Linked DNA regions of Danio rerio. The protein of the gene in region 1 purifies or fractionates together with the protein of each later gene. This does not show direct contact. Links are inferred from orthologs where the notes say so. Each region holds a gene or a part of one and is shown in the gene's direction. Other genes may lie near its edges. The genes, in order: tada3l, taf10, atxn7l3a, zzz3 and kat2b.

Region 1 (3,969 bases):
GACATGGTTGTATACAGTTGTCTCCATATTATTATTATTCATGAACGTATACTCGTAGTAAATACACAAAAACGTGACTGTCAGTGAGTGGAAGAGCAGTTGTGTGCTTGTCATTACAATGAGCTTCTGATAGTAATTCAGGTTGTCAATAACTATTCTTATAAATACATTTCAACAATCATATCAAATACCACATCAAACAAAACATTTATGTAGCATAAATAGTATTTAATCGAATCCATTTATTATTTTGATTCTGTTAAAGAGGATGCAAAATCCCTGACGTTAGCTAGCTAGCATAAATCAGGACAGAACACTCGATCAAATAAGCCAGAAATCAAAGCTGTTTCTCTATGCAAAATGCTTTACCGAAAAGCTTTTTCATGGGTTATTTAATTGGTTGGGCTATAATCAAAAACAATATTTGCAACTTTCGAGAATCGAAAATCTCTTACCATTTTATATGAGGTCTGTGGAGGAAGACGGAAGTCCGCACGCCACGCCTGGAGATGAGGAATCACGCCTCCATTGCGTCCTCACACTCCCGTAATTTATCTATTGAAAGAGCAATTCAGCTTAATTCTCACAAGCGCGTGGTTTAAATTTACACGAGTGGATGTCAAATTACAAAACATATGTTAATGCAAACTAAAGTTGTCACTATTATAATGTAAGAAAATAATACAGCTACTAAAACAACATAACAGTAATGTTGAAAAATCTTTTTGTTTAATTACGGTAAAGCCCAGCAGCAGTTTTTCCTAGATTCGTTTTTTCTTCCTTATATGGCAAATTACTCGACAGGTCAAATAAATTGTACGTTTATCAAACAGGGTGTAATCTATAAATATTAATGTTCCGAAATAAACATTAGCTCTTTTGTGGCTTTGAACAGTTGATTATTTTTTTGAAAATAAATACAATTTATTTCCATTCAGACGCGCTTTGGTATCGAATGTACCATTCAATGAACTGCGGTGTTGCGTTGTGAATGTCAACTGACAGGAAGCGGTATTTGTCGAATGTCGAATAATAATTTAACTATACAATATTTTAAGAAAACGTGCAACGGCCAAATTGAAGCTCTTATGATATACATTCATGTTTTTAAAATGTAATCAACGAGCTGTATCCCCCCTACTGGCATAATGGTCTAGTCAGTAATGGTTGCCCCTTCATCGGAGGTAAACAATGCTATTTTATGAATCAATTAATGCAGTATAGGAGTTGAGTTTATCGTCCTATTTCGTATTTAATCATATAGTTTAATTGTCAGCACAAGTCTTTTCATTGAAAGCTATACGCAAATATGCTGGTAAATGCTATAACCGGCTGCCTGTGCTTTGAACAGCATGGAGCTAAATTAGCTTGTAGCCGTTAGCCTACATTGGCTGCTCGTTATATCATTTATCATCTTATATGGCAATCACTATTACATAATAGAGTGAAAAATTCAATACATGTAGGATTAGATTTGTTACACACCAAACAGTATAAATAACAACACATCTCTGTTTTGTTTTTCTGTAGCTGTCCACTAGTAACGTTACCACTAGATCAAAACCATTTACAATTTGTGCTGCTCATTAATAACACTAAAAAGACAATTAGAATATACTTTTTTTAACCCTCACTTTGTTTATTATTTCATTACAGATATAGATTTCTGTAAATGCAGAGATGAGTGAACTGAAGGATTGCCCCCCATTAAAGTACTATGACTTCAAACCTGTGGACCATGTGAAAGTGTGTCCACGCTACACTGCAGTGCTCAGCCGCTCAGAGGATGATGGCATTGGCATTGAAGAGCTCGACACGCTTCAGCTGGAGCTGGAAACACTCTTGTCCTCTGCGAGCCGACGTCTCCGAGCACTGGAGGAACAGAGACAGGTGAAAACTGCTGTTTTTACACTTGTCTTTTTCACATCTTGTGCGTACACTAGTTTGGAATCAGTGGGACTTTTCAATGATTTTGACAGAAGTCTCTACTTCTCATCAAAGCTGCATTTATTTATTTATTTTTTTAAAAATAAAATGGAAGAAGAAATACAATTTGTGAGAATGTTTTATTGTAAAACAGGTGTTTTGTAATGTAGAATGTAGTGATTTTTTTCCTGTGATTGAATTAGGGCTGCACAATATATAAATTGGGTGTGTGTATAATCAGAATCAGTATCTTCCGTCCAATTCATATCCGTTTTCAAACAAAAAAGGATACTGAAGAAAAGAAAAGAAAAGAAAAAGACTTTTTTTTTTCATTTGCGAAAAAATGACATTTTGACTTGATTTTTATTTTTTTAATTTACGGTAGAAAAATGGATTAACGACTTCAAAATTCTTTATACACATGTAGGTGGTGCTGAAACGCCCTTTTTCCTCTGATTGGTCAACCAAATCTGAGCTCGTAACGTCGCCCTCAAAATAAGAGCACTCTGTGGATCAGCAGCCAGACTTTTAATTATTGTTATTTAATCATATATATAAACTAAGTTTACATATTCTGTCATTTGATCTGTTAGCAGGCCAACATTCTTTGCGTATGCCTAAATTAAAAAAAAAACATAAATTAGCAGTATTTTTAGACATTTGTCGTTAAAATAAGGCCATAGTTCGCTGACAAACGTCCTGCAGCAGCGCAACTGATGCTGAGCAAAGATAGCCATTTCCAAACAGCACCTAGTTTGCATGATTATTTCCTAACAAGGCCTATATAATAATAATGATGATAATATTAATAATGTTAATAATAATAATATTAATAATAATAATAATAATAATAATAATAATAATAATAATAATATATGCCTTTAGTTCTCCTACCAAACGTCTTGCTGCTGTGCACCTGATGCTGAGCAAAGACAGCCATTTACGAGCAGCACCTGGTTTGCATGATTGTTTCCGTGCTACTGAAGGCCTAAATAACAACAACAATAATAATAATATTTAATATTGTTCACTTACTGTTTTTATTGTTTAGTTTTTTAATAATCATTTATTATTATTATAAAAAAATATATATATATATATATATATATATATATATATATATATATATATATATATATATATATATATATATATATATTTATATATATATATTATTATTATTTTTTTTTCTAGACCTAGCCCATGGCAGGCTACGCTGAATATTTAAAATAAGTGGATTTAAATAAAATACAATAGGATCGGTGGCTGTGCACGAGCAACATCTACAGGTAGCCAACTCATTTAAAATCCGATTTCGGTTTTGATTTTGGCTTCAAACGATTATGAAAAAGCATAAATCTAGATAAATGATTATTGCATCATATACCACCATCTTTCCAGCTGTACACATGTGTTGCTCTTAAAAGCGCGAAAGACCACCTGCTTATGTGTGTGTGCGGCACACACAGTTTGTTTCATATTTCTATTCTATTGTATTTATTTCTTTTTCCTTTACAGGGTGGAAAATAACTGTATATATGTAGTTCAAGTCAGAATTATTAGCCCTCCTATTAGCATCCCTTTTCCTACCCAATTTCTGTTTAATGGAAAGAAGTTGTTTTTACTTATTTCTGAACGTAATAGTTTTGTTATCTCATTTCTATTAACTGATTTCTTTTATCTTTGCTATGACAACAGTACATAATATTTTTCTAGATATTTTTCAAAATACAAGCATTCAGATTAAAGTGTGATTCAAAGGCTTAGATGGGGTAATTAGGCAAGTCATTGTATAACAGTAGTTTCTTCTGCAGAGAATCAAAAAATAGCTTGCTTAAGGGAGCTAATAATATTGACCTTAAAATGGGTTTCAAAATATTTAAACCTGCATTTATTCTAGCTAAAATAAAACAAATGAGCCTAGAGGAAAAAAATATTTTAGAAAACACTGTTAAAATTCCTTGCTCTGTTAAACATCATTTGTGAAATTTTGACTTCAACTGATAATCGTTTTGAATAATCGTGATTACAATTATGAACTAA
Region 2 (4,081 bases), on another chromosome or scaffold:
TTGGCTTGAAAGAGTTTAAAAATACGAGAACAAACCTTTGTGTTTTCACACACCCAAACATTTTTTTTTTCTTTTGTTAAATTATCTATTAATTAATATTAGTGTCCAAAAAAAGCATTTAGGAAATTAATAACATTTTCCCCTCCAAGATCTAACACACTTAAGTTTGTTCTAGAAACCTTTCAGAATAATATTTATTATTTTGGACTGGATTTAAGCAGGCATTCTAAGGAATTTATTTAAATTTCATTAATTCCAAAAGAGCTCTGGTTTCCCACACAGTCCAAACACATGCAGTTAAGGTGAATTGAATAAACTTAATTGGTCGTAGTGTATGTGTGTGATTGAGGGTATATTGATGTTTCCCACTACTGGAATGCAGCTGGAAGGGCATGCGCTGTGTAAAACATAGGCTGGATAAGTTGGCGGTTCATTTTGCTGTGGCGACCCCTGATGAATAAAGGGACTAAGCTGAAAGAAAATGAATGAATAATGCCATAAGATTTAATAGCCATTTTTAGAAATAATAAACTCTAAATGACAGGCTATAAGATGATATATTCAAATTTTAATTAAAGTATTATAATAATACTTACAATATTATTATAATATATATAATATATTTAATACTAATACTCAGAGTGCAAATTACTCTGTCAAATTTAGCCTTTTTTTTTAAATGACATCTAAAGACATTTAAATATTCTCTTATTATTTTAGAGGTTACTGTAACTCAAACTATACAAACACCTATTTTACAAGAGAACTGTCTCGAACACTACAGTATCCACGCTGTTGAATGAGTCTTGCAAAGACTGATTGGCGCGATTATGCCTTTAACCATAGGGGTGGTCAAATTTATATTTGTATAATCTATTTTATTTTAATTATTAATATTATTTAAGATAACATGAGTAACATGACAGCATGTAAGATTGATACGCTAATAACAAGATTATTTTGTGGTTTAAGTGTATTAGTTGCAGTCACAGAGACCTTAAAGTGTAATTTGAACACTATAACTATATTTAAGTTTTCTGACATTCCTTTGTGTGAAATAACCCACTTCACCGCCATCACTAGATGGAGCTGTTGCAAAATGTCCTCGGTCTAGGTCTACACACGCAATATGTTTCTTCTTTCTCCTTTTGGATGAACTGCAAATTATATATTGAATGCCAAATACGTATGACAAAGTTTGCGCTTTAAATTCAATACTACAAATAATAAATGTGAGCTAAAAGGGATTTATCCGGAACCATTGACGATTTCCAACACCAAGCGGGATTTCATAGTGGTTGCACACGGAAGTGTTGATCACCTGACGCAGTTGCAGCGTAAATATTTTTATCATCAGAGCGAGCGACCGATACTTCGCCGTTTAAACGGCATAAATGAGCGCTCGACTCAACCCAACATTAGTTTAAACTGTGTGTGTTTTTCTAGTATAGCTTAGCGTTTGCAATACATAAACTAAGCCGGGAAAATGAACGTGGATCTCACGCAGACCGGAGCAGCAGCGGCGGCGTCCAGCAGCAGCAACTGCGTCCCGAACAGCAGCACCACAAACGCCAGCAGCATCCCTGCGCTCGCCAGCAGCAATGGTGTGTGTCTCTGTGTGTCTTTTCCACAACACTCATTTTTTACTGGGCGATGTGACTTGAAAATAATAACAGTTTATCGCTTTTTTTATATTAGTTGTTATCGCCAATTATCACAAAAAAGTCACAACTTTATTTATTTCACGTTTTAATGCAGATTTTTGCTCCTGAATAATAGTTGTACGAAGCAAACAGATAACTAATCGTTTAAACTTCTCGTATATTGTAAAACTTGTCAAACGCATGTCAAAGAGATGAACATTTCACAGATCTGAGGTAACGTTACAGCAAAAACCAACGTTTTTGGGACACCCCTCCATTGAATTCAGGTGTATTATAATCAAGCACCTAGGCATGCAGACAAACATTTGACAGAATGGGTTGATCACAGAAATCCAAGTGATTTTAAACGCAATGTGCAATGTGGCCTACATGACATTTCCTCACTACAGCTAAATATTACATGGTCAACTTCAAGTCTTCTTTCTTGGGGTGCTCTTGCTTTTCTTTTTTACTGCAATTAGTACAACAGTGAATTTTCAAGGGCAATAGCATAAAACGGGTATAGTAGTATAGACAACAACTGAAAAACAAGCCAATCACATTTTCAAATCAAGGTGCAAATAGTGACAATTTATTTTAAAAAATCGATTTAAGAAAGTAAAATTTGTTTCTTTTAAGGTATAAAGGTAGTGAGACAACTGTGGGGGGTAGAAGAGGCACATCATGCACATATATCCTGGCAGTGCTTAAGAATGAACAGTTTTTGAGAAACTACTCTCGGCCATTAATTATATTTTTGATCTTCATATTTCTAGATCATTCAAAGTACTTTATCTAGGGGACATAACTATTAAACTTGAAAAGGAGGCTGGATATCTATTTAAAATATTATTGGCAAAAAGTAAGAAAAGCTATAACCTGGAAATGGTATGAAGAAGATCCGCTCAAAATAATAACAGAAATGGAAAAAATGATTACAAATAGAAAAAGAGATGGCTGGCTTTCTCTACAACGGCAATACAATTATCCATAATTTAACGTTTACGTAATTCTAGAGGTTATGCATCATTGCGAGAATGTTTGTCAACCTTTTATTATATTTGTTTTGTACTTTTTTATTCATTTATTTTCTTGATGAGGTTAATTTACTGTTTTTTATATATGTATGCATATAGATATACTTGTGTGGAATGGATGTATTTGTGTATATACACGTATATACTTGTTATGTATGTGTGTTTATATGTTTTATAGTTTGTTTTGTTCCCACTGGTTATATGTTTCTAAAAAAATACATAAAAACTAAGTATTAAAAAAAGATAGTAAGATGTGAGTGATAGTTTCTATTTTAAAATGAGTAAAATTAGTTTACTTACACTTCCTATTTACACTTTACACTAAAATACTTTTCCATTATTAAACAGTAAATTCACAATATACCAAATTTTAATGTCAACATAAACTCCTGGGGCAGACTCTGTGCTTAAAGAAAATGAAGAGCGACCAATTCACAAAATTTGTGGTTTTAATGCATTTATTTACACAATTCATAAAGCCACTTTAAGCTGCATCATATTAAAAAAAACTATTAGTTGTTATATTGTAATCCTGTCACATATTACTGTTTTATTTGAAAATTATATCATGTAAAATATAGTTATCATGTGTTATTACCACGGCCAGACAGAATCTGCAGACATTTTTTGCTGTTTCTGCGCAGAAGTAAAAAATGTGTGAATTTATGCAAAAAGATTTTGGAAGCAACTTAACTAAATACTTAATATATGGAATTTTAACTTATTTAATTTTTTAATTAAATAATTAGATGCACTTATTTGGTAAACAAAGCAAGTCTACTAAAATCTACTAAAAGACGAAATATTACTTTACAAACTGTATTGTAAATAAATCATATGAACATTTTCATATGGTCAATAATATTACTGAAATAAATGTAATAATAATAATAATAATAATATATATATATATATATATATATATATAATAAAATATATAAATTTGGCAAAAAAAAACCCTGTGGAAATCTGTGGATTTCTGCGCACACAGATTCCATGTGGGCCTAGTTACTACCCAGCCCTGATCAGAGAGCTTAGCATTTACCTACAAACATTTAATTATAAATTCAATTATTTACACTTAGTTGTCCAACTTTTGTCCAAAGCAACTGTCAAATGAGAAAGGGTATTGTGATTTATCACAAAGAGCCAATGCCCACTTTAATGCCTGTATTAACAGGAAGTTGTTGCAAACTTTTATTTCAGTGTGATGACCTATTTCCAACTGAATTGAAATATTGAGCAGTGGGCGGGTTTTATTTTTGTGCTCCTGTCATCTTTCACTTGTGGCAAACTTAACGGTTGAAGAGGTGTGGCTAAGCATCTTTTGCTCCAATCTGTCAAACTGACGTCATCAGAGAAGAACTGCCATAACAGAGCAGAAGCAGATGGTCAGATTTA
Region 3 (2,992 bases), on another chromosome or scaffold:
ATTCCACTGATTTCCTGATAAATGTTGCATTCTGGGATAATCCAGCGCAGCTCTTTGATAATAAGCTGATCTCTCCTTCCTCAATGCAGTATTGGATGAACACAATATGCAGCCTATTCCTCTTGCTTTTTCTACTTTGGAGAAGACAGGAGAAGGTATCACTGCTTAAACTTACTCCGAAACGTTTTGCGTTTTTTCATAATGGATTAATGAATACGCGTCAGACTGGATATGCAAAAACGCATGCAAAAATGTCAGACTTCAGTGTGCAAAAGACCTTTAGGCTAGTATAAAAAGCTTCTTGTTAATTTGTTAGCTATAAAATAAGACCCTGTCTGTGTTTAAATGACCTCCTCATGCTTTGTGTTATGTCATGAGGAAGCTTGATTCCACCTCTCCTTTTCATCAACTCTGCATGTTTCCATAATCCGCACACTGATGTTGTGGTCTAGTTTCTATTTAAGAAAGCAGCTGTGAGTCAGATTTGAAAGATGTTAATTTCTCAAATTAAAGCGTTTCAACTCATAACATAATTGCTGACAAGAAACCAGGTCAGATCACTGGAAAATGTAGTTTAGGTGTCATACTCCATCTGTCGACTTTTTCCTTGAACTGAGGTGCCAATTCAGCGTTTTTGACGAGAGAGTCATTTCCTGTTTCTGTTTACCAGGTCAACACTACCAGACGCTGACACCATGCTGGAAAACGAGGCCTATGAACCCCCTGATGGCCAGCTCATCATGTCCCGTCTCCATTGGGACGCTTCCTCTGACATCTCCCCATCAGACTCGGCATCTTCAAAAGCCAGTGAGTTTCCTGAAGACTTTTTTTTTTTGTCAAGACGCCACATGTATCTGCTTGTCATGACATGATCTCGTTCTCAGGCACCAATAACTCTGAATCCAAGAGACCGAAGAAGAAGAAGCCCAGCACGCTTTCTCTGACTCCCGCAGGAGAGAGGGATAAAGCACAGGAGCGAGACAGAATAGCAGGCAGCGGGAGCAGCGGTAGCAGCTCCCAGAATGCTCTGGGTCTCTCAAGTCGGAAAAAGCGACCAAAACTTGCAGTTCCTCCAGCACCCAGCATCTATGATGACCTGAACTAAGGCACATGCATCCCACACACACACCCACACCCAATCATGACTGACTTGATGAGGTTTTATCTGGTCTTTAGTTTCCCCCATTTCAGTGCACGTGAACGTGACGTGTGTGTAAAGACTGGGCCCCTTTTCAGACTTCTGCAGGCATGAAGAGATCATTTGTTACAGCACAGTGTTGCACAGTGAGTGATTTAACTGAATATATATATATATATATATTGTGTGAATGGAACTAGCTTTATTTTGATTTTACTATGCAGTTCACTGTCATCTCTTAGGAGATTTGGGTTTACAGTGATGTGTGTGTGAGAGTTGGACAGTTTGTATGTGAATGGGTTGTTGCAAGTATTTTGTCCCTGGTGGCTCATGTAATTCAGTCAGGTGCTTAGTGGTTTTTAAAGGACGTCTCTGCTTCATGTTGTCTTGCTAATCTTTCTGCAACCTGATAGGCTCGGCTATGCTCTTTTAATGCCAAACAATATACTCTCTTTTGCTCTCCCTTAAAGGGACAGTTCACCCCAAAATGAAAATTCTGCAATCATTTACTCACCCTTGTTTAAAGCCTTTTTGAGTTTACACAAGAAGATATTTTGGAAAATGAGAGTATGGAAATCAGTGTTTTCCAGCATTCTTCACAATTTTTGTGTGTGTGTGTTTAAAAGCACATGAGCGTGAGTGAATAATGTGAATTTTCAATTGTGGCTGATCTGTCTCTTTAATGAACTTGGTTAGCGCTACCAGCAGCTTTCTGCCAAATCTGTGCGCACACAATCTTCTGCCTTGTGTGTTTTGGAGTTTGCTGTTCTTGTTTGCTGTCATGGTTAATATATTTTGCCTGTATTTATTTGATCTGCTGTGTGAATGTTGTTTTGTTTTAAATCATGATATGTGTATGCATTTCCTCGCATTATGGACTTAAAATGAGTTTGTTGATCTTCAAAGCACTTACTATTTAACGTTAGATGGTTTTGTATTAAATATAGTTTGTTAAAGTCTAATCAGAAATGCGTATAGCAATTGAAAATGCACTTAAGATGGATCAAATCCAGCCCCTATGGACGCCTTGTCTTTTTTAAAGTGAAAATGTTGTCATTGTTTGATCGTTAGTGAATTTTAGAGTTTGAAATGACTTGAGCTTTTGTGTTTGTTGTGAATGGACAGAATTGGTACAATTCACACTGTCCTTGCTGTGAGTGGATGTTTCGTCTGTGACGCCGAGTTCTTGCTGTCTCTCAATGCACTGTAGTGTCTTTGTAATGGTTGAAGTAAATATTCATTTTGAAGTAATTCACCATTTAATTTCTGAAGTCTGAGGAATGAAAGAGTCATTTGTTTGCTCACATTAAAATATGCTCAACAAGTGTCTTTCAAATATGAGCTATTTTATTCTCAAGCAAAAACAAAGCATTAAAGAGGTGCTAGTTGTCTGTTAAAGCAAACAGAATAGGTAGTTTCCCCTAAAACCATATTCAATTTCTGACAATATTGAGCAAAAAAAAGTGCAACCCATTCAAACAAGAACCAAAGTATCCAATGCTTTGTGGTTCCCACACACGTCTTGATTTATCTACAGTAAATACATTGCATATATACAGATTTTTACACAGGACACCAAATGTGTGGCTGTTATCGCTGTCATGTATTAATGCCTATCAACACAGTGAGTTTTCCCTATAGTCTACTCCAGTCCTGATACTGTTTGAGGGTTGCATGTAAAATCTTTATCAAGTATAAAACTCTTATAACTAGAAGCGGATGTGCTGAACCAGTGCCATGTAAAAGACAAAGGAAATAAATAGATTTCAATGTAACTGGCAAAAGAGAGAGGGAGAGGGGGGAAAAGGACAACTCAATAGTGACTAAGCAGTACATCACATATGGGTGTTTACA
Region 4 (3,522 bases), on another chromosome or scaffold:
AAAAAAGAGACCATGCAAAAGTGGAGACCCAGGTGGTTTTAATATTACAGAATATGTGTTCCACCATTCATAGGCTTCACACTGATGTATATATGACAATTTTAAATTTAAAACAATTTACAAGTTACAAACTAAAATTAAATAACAAATTATGTTTTTGACGCAGTTGAATCAGAATTATTTGCCCTCTTTTGAAATTGTCTTTCTTTTCAAACTATTTCCCAATTTCTAGGCTTTATTGGTGATAACTAAGCTAGCTAGACAGTAATGTGTGAATTGTTGAGTGGGCAAAATAAAAACAAAAAAAAAGGTCAGTATTTTATTTTTATTATTGCCATAATTAAAAAAATATATAATTGTAGAGCAACCCAAGTTCTATTGCCATTAATATTTAACTTTAATAGGTTAGTTGAAGTCAGAATTATTAGCCCCCCTGAATTTTTAGTCGTCCTGTTTATTTTTTTCCCAAATTCTGTTTAACGGAGAGAAGATTTTTTTTTTCAACACATTTCTAAACATGATAGTTTTAATAACTCATTTGTAATAACTGATTTATTTTATCTTTGCCATGATGACAGTAAATAATATTTGATTAAATATTTTTCAAGACACTTCCATACAGCTTAAAGTGACGTTAAAAGGCTTAATGGGGTTAATTAGGTTAACTAGGCAGGTTAGGGTAATTAGGCAAGTTATTGTATAACGACGGGTTGTTCTGTAGACAGACAAAATATATATATATATATATATATATATATATATGTGTGTGTGTGTGTGTGTGTGTGTGTGTAGTGTAGCCACAATGCCCATGTATGCTGTTTTGTTGATTTTCCTACTGATGATGTTTGTTTAGATGATCAGAGGAAGGCTGTGCAACCAGAGCAAACCAGACACCTTCAACCAGCTGTGGACCATCGAGGAGCAGGTAGTACTAGTAGCTGTGAACTCTGAGACGTCTATAAACAAATTTAAACAAACTATTAAATGTGCACAGGTTGTAACACTGTTAGTCCAATTTATACTTTATTATTGTGAGATTGGCATCCCCCCCATGTTGCTGATATCCTTGTGAGCAATTGTACTTCTGCGTTCTGTCCATGTTGCTCTGCAATAACACTTCCGAAATAGTAGTTGGCAGTGGGGATTCTGTGTAAAACTGTGTTTTTTTGCCAATGTTTTGAGTTTGCACAGAAAATGGAGTAACAACAGTTCAAACTCACACTTTTTCTGGGAAGAAAGTTGGGAATCAGTGTGATCTTTTGCTGCTGTAGCCCATTCGCCTCAAGGTTCGACATGTTTTGCGTTCAGAGATGCTCTTTTGCATACCTCACTCGTAACAAGTGGTTATTTGAGTTAATGTTGCCTTTCTATCAGCTGGAACCAGTCTGGCCATTTTCCTCTGACCATTCTCTGTAAACCCGTGAGATGGTTGTGCATGAAAATCCCAGTAGATCAACAGTTTCTGAAATACGCAGACCAGCCCATCTTCCCCATTCGGATGCTTGGTTTAAATTGCAGCAGATCGTCTAGACCATGTCAACTTGCATAAATGCCTTGAGTTGCTGCCATGTGATTGGCTGATTAGAAATTTGCGTTAAGCAGTTGGACACCTGTACCTAATAAAATGGCCAGTAAGTGTATAGTGTGAATATTCTATATTTGAATATTTAACTTCTGTACCTAAATACTGTGATTTTAAAATATTTCACTTCTATTGTTTTCAGTAGTAATCCCTATATTCTTCCAGAATAATCCCCAGTCTAAATTAATGAATTCTTTCCAAATCATGCTGTTTATATGGCAATCTATATCGCAACAAAACAAAATATCGCTAATTTTTTCAAATATCGTGCAGCCCTAACAATTGTCCATTTAAATTTGTGAACGTATGCTATTATGTACATTTTAGTCTTTGGTGTAGCTGTTTTCTCATCTCATCTTGTATGTGAAACCTGTAGAAAAAGTTGGAGCAGCTGCTTTTGAAGTTCCCACCAGAGGAGGTTGAGTCTAAACGCTGGCAGAAGATCGCAGATGAACTTGGCAACAGGACCGCCAAACAGGTGCGTCTTCAGGGCCTGCCCATTCTCTCATAGCATTGACGGACTTCTCTTTCTAGTCACATTTTCACTGCTCAATAAATAAGTCATGCAATTCAAAGCCTCATTTAATGGAAGCTCTGTTGTTTACAGATGGGTTTTTTTTTTGCTAATGTGACAAGAGTCTGAAAATATAAAAGCTGTGGTCAGAAAGCTTCATCACTGAATTTATGGCCAGCTCTTTTTATGTCAAATGTTTGTTGCTTTTCTCTGCAGGTTGCTAGCAGGGTGCAGAAGTATTTCATAAAACTGACAAAGGCTGGAATTCCAGTGCCCGGCAGAACACCCAATGTGTGCATGTACAGCAAAAAGGTATAATCATTTTTTTAAATTAATTTTACATTTGTATTATTTTCTTTATATGTCATGTAATGTACACATAATTTGTATATTTATCTTTACACATTATTTACTACAACAAAGGGTTTGTGACTGTTTAAAGAGCCATGAAGCCCCCTGTCTCAGCAGGGTGTTTTTACACCTCTAGTTTGAAAAAAGTGGTCCAGCTCTGTTTGGGTGGGCGTGTCAAGTGGCGAAAGAGGAAGGGTTTGCATGAAAAGGGGAGTTTCAGTACGTGCACATGCTGATTTTCAAACACACGCACAGGCGAGATAGACTGTGACTCGGAGAGCAGCGGATCTAAGAGCTGTGTAAAAAAGTGCAGGATTTCTCTCCACCAGATTCTCCTCAGTCACATTATCTGTTTGATGACAGTGCAGGGCCACTGCCTTATCATTTTAAACCTTTCAACAAAAGCACGCCTGTGAATGCAGGAGAAAGTGAAAATGCTCCTGACAAAAAGAACATTGAAGTCTCGCAATTGTAATTATTATTCCCAACTTTATTTGTTGAAATAAACAAATAACTATTAATCACACCATTGTGCCTGCCAAAAATACACTAAAAAAAGAGGACTGTTTTAATCTTAATTTTCTCTGTTGTAATCTTAGGGTGCTTTCACACCTAGACTTTTGTTTCGGAACCTGTCTCATTTCCCCAGTTAGCGCGGTTCGTTTGGCATATGTGAATCAGCAAATGCTCTCTGATCCGCAGCAAAACAATTAGCCCGGAATCGCCTGAATGAGGTGGTCTCGGCTCGATTGAAACCAGGCCCGGATTGGCTAATCGGGAGGACCGGGAGAATTCCCGGTGGGCCGGTCTGTTTTTTGGCCGCGAGGGCCGGTGTCCCTAGCTGCTTGCACTCTCAGCAGTCACACTTTTTTCTTCTATTTATTTATTTGACCATAGCTTTACTTTTTTTAATCATTATTTTGCCGTAGTGCCGCTCTTTTTATTTATTTTCTCGCAGCCCCGTGAGAAAAATGCAGCCTGCAGGTTAACTAACGTTAATGATGATGATGTAATGCAACTATCGACCCCAAACAGCGGCACCTTAGTGAATATAAGAATTCGAATAAAATGAATA
Region 5 (2,236 bases), on another chromosome or scaffold:
TAGTAAAATAAATGTTCATGACATGGCTGGGAAAAATTTTTATTTAATGCAGTGCTTCTTGTAAAAATTGAGACCCACTTTATATTTGATATCACTCAGCTAGTAAAGATAGCTGGTTTTTAAAGAAAACAGACCTTAAACACGCAGATTTTGCAATGACATACAGTTCACAGGAAACACTTAACTTAGGTTACTGACAAATTAAAGTCTTTTAGCATACTTCGGCATATACCTATTGTAGTTTAACAGCGTTAACAAAACATATCCAATGTCCACCAAATTAAAGTTAATAGTTGCACAGCTTACATTAACTCTTGTGCAAATCCAAACATTAAATAATTATTTGAACAAACACTGAACCCAAAAACCTTACAAATTAGGAATTCAGAAAGATCAATCCTTATATAAAGTTTAACATACCCAGGCTGCATCCAAAGCTGCCTACTACTCAGTAGGTACTGCATTTTAATTAAAATGTACTTCTTGACCATTAGAAAAGTACTTTCTATACAGTATGAATGTATGAATGGAGCTCGGACGTACTACATCAGCCATTTTGTCATGATCACGTGACCTACCCGTGTCAGTTGCCTCGATTCACTCCCGTTCATGAATTCTCTCGCGGGGCATTATGGGATAGCGTAGCACACATTGGATGCACATTTCAGAATCTTGACTGACATGTTTGACCGTAAAACCACCATTAACAGGTTCTTCTCTAAATCGTCGCTGGTCCCACTGTAAAAAATGCTGGGTTTCACACAATCGATTTGTGTTGGGACAACATGAAGGAGTTCAGTTAACTTTTACAAAGTTAAGTGGATTGTACATAAAACAATTAAGTTGTCCCCTAAAAACCTTAAGAATTGTGATTGTTTCAGCTCATTTTAAATAAACAAAGTGTAATTTTTCCAAATTGTCCACAACAGAATGAGTGCTTACGAAATCTGAAGATAATGATTTGTTTTTGCTAATTATTTTTTTATTTGAGTTAGTGTTTCAATGTTAGTTTCCTTTAGTTTATCGTTTATTGTGAATTTTTTTTCATTTTATTTTCAAGCTAACAAAAATGTTTTAATTGTAAATTTAGTCCTCGTTTGCTAAAATAACCTTGCAGATCACTGAAAAACAGGTTTATTAGTTAAATAAAAAAATATACTTTTTTACACCTAAAACTTAATTATTACTGAAAACCATAATAAATTAAGTGAAAATGGATTAATTCATGTAGTTGTAACAAGCTGAAGTAATACTTTCAAGTTTTACTGTGTATTAAAATGAATTTTGATGGATCATGTGACACTGACGTAATGAAGCTAAAATTTAATCTTTAAATCACAGAAATTAACTACATTTTAAACTACATTTAATAAGTAAAAAATTATTAGTAATTCATAGTAAATTTGAGTTTTTACTCAGGTAAAACTTAAATTAAGTAAAAGCCCCTTTGGTGAGCAGAACAGGCTTCTTTTGAAAAACATTATAAAATCCCAAACTGATCATGAATGATCATGGATGTCTCCTGTTGTAGACCTGAAGACGATGAGCGAGCGGCTGAAAAGTCGTTACTACACCACGAGGAAGCTGTTCATGGCCGACATGCAGAGGATCTTCACTAACTGTCGAGAATACAACCCTCCTGAAAGCGAGTACTACAAATGTGCCAATCTACTAGAGAAGTTCTTCTACACCAAGATCAAGGAGGCAGGCCTCATCGACAAGTAATCTAACCGAGGGCACGTGCACGCAGTCCGTTTCCCTCTTTCTCTACCTCTTTTTAGCATATTTAACTCCATTTATCCATATGGAAACTTGTTTCCTCCACAGAATTATAAAAACAAATGCAATTGCCACGTTTTATCTCACAAATTTGAATATTTATCCATAATTGTGAGTTTACATCTCTCTTTTTGGAGTTTTGTTTTTTTATATTTGGGAATTTGACATAACAGTTAACATCTTGTAAATCAATTTTTTTTTTCCTCAAAATTGCAACTTCATATCTTGCAGTTTCTACTTCAAAACTTGCAGTTTATATCACCTTTCTGAAGAAAAAAGTTAAATACATGTCAAATATGAAGTCAGAATTGTGTGAGAAAGCCTATAAACTTGCAATTGTGAGAAAAAAGTCAAAGCTGTGCCATCAAACTGATAATTATAAGAGCATATAAACACAAAGGTTTGTGACAAAATATTTTATATCAGGTTTATAGCTCTTAATTGTGAAAAAATAAAT

The links.
Region 2: the proteins of tada3l (region 1) and taf10 purify together in Homo sapiens (affinity purification with mass spectrometry; 5 studies listed by BioGRID and IntAct, counting the BioPlex papers as one, with this or other methods). This does not show direct contact. The link is inferred for Danio rerio from reciprocal best matches to the Homo sapiens genes TADA3 and TAF10.
Region 3: the proteins of tada3l (region 1) and atxn7l3a purify together in Homo sapiens (affinity purification with mass spectrometry; 6 studies listed by BioGRID and IntAct, counting the BioPlex papers as one, with this or other methods). This does not show direct contact. The link is inferred for Danio rerio from reciprocal best matches to the Homo sapiens genes TADA3 and ATXN7L3.
Region 4: the proteins of tada3l (region 1) and zzz3 purify together in Homo sapiens (affinity purification with mass spectrometry; 4 studies listed by BioGRID and IntAct, counting the BioPlex papers as one, with this or other methods). This does not show direct contact. The link is inferred for Danio rerio from reciprocal best matches to the Homo sapiens genes TADA3 and ZZZ3.
Region 5: the proteins of tada3l (region 1) and kat2b purify together in Homo sapiens (affinity purification with mass spectrometry; 8 studies listed by BioGRID and IntAct, counting the BioPlex papers as one, with this or other methods). This does not show direct contact. The link is inferred for Danio rerio from reciprocal best matches to the Homo sapiens genes TADA3 and KAT2B.

Annotation. Positions count from the first base shown.
Region 1 is NC_133186.1:18,274,987-18,278,955, forward strand, and holds the start of tada3l (transcriptional adapter 3), read left to right. Parts: upstream 1-1,159; 5' UTR 1,160-1,226; exon of another isoform or gene 1,227-1,315; intron 1,316-1,656; 5' UTR 1,657-1,680; coding exon 1,681-1,890; intron 1,891-3,969. Other genes in the region: arpc4l (actin related protein 2/3 complex, subunit 4, like), read right to left, coding at 456-458. UniProt on the Homo sapiens protein: Functions as a component of the PCAF complex. The PCAF complex is capable of efficiently acetylating histones in a nucleosomal context. The PCAF complex could be considered as the human version of the yeast SAGA complex.
Region 2 is NC_133183.1:27,712,089-27,716,169, reverse strand, and holds the start of taf10 (transcription initiation factor TFIID subunit 10), read left to right. Parts: upstream 1-1,267; 5' UTR 1,268-1,486; coding exon 1,487-1,604; intron 1,605-4,081. UniProt on the Homo sapiens protein: The TFIID basal transcription factor complex plays a major role in the initiation of RNA polymerase II (Pol II)-dependent transcription.
Region 3 is NC_133178.1:18,805,886-18,808,877, reverse strand, and holds the end of atxn7l3a (ataxin-7-like protein 3), read left to right. Parts: intron 1-670; coding exon 671-807; intron 808-884; coding exon 885-1,105; 3' UTR 1,106-2,474; downstream 2,475-2,992. UniProt on the Homo sapiens protein: Component of the transcription regulatory histone acetylation (HAT) complex SAGA, a multiprotein complex that activates transcription by remodeling chromatin and mediating histone acetylation and deubiquitination.
Region 4 is NC_133177.1:9,166,332-9,169,853, forward strand, and holds part of zzz3 (ZZ-type zinc finger-containing protein 3), read left to right. Parts: intron 1-853; coding exon 854-925; intron 926-1,958; coding exon 1,959-2,060; intron 2,061-2,312; coding exon 2,313-2,408; intron 2,409-3,522.
Region 5 is NC_133194.1:23,150,727-23,152,962, forward strand, and holds the end of kat2b (histone acetyltransferase KAT2B), read left to right. Parts: intron 1-1,531; coding exon 1,532-1,725; downstream 1,726-2,236. UniProt on the Homo sapiens protein: Functions as a histone acetyltransferase (HAT) to promote transcriptional activation. Has significant histone acetyltransferase activity with core histones (H3 and H4), and also with nucleosome core particles.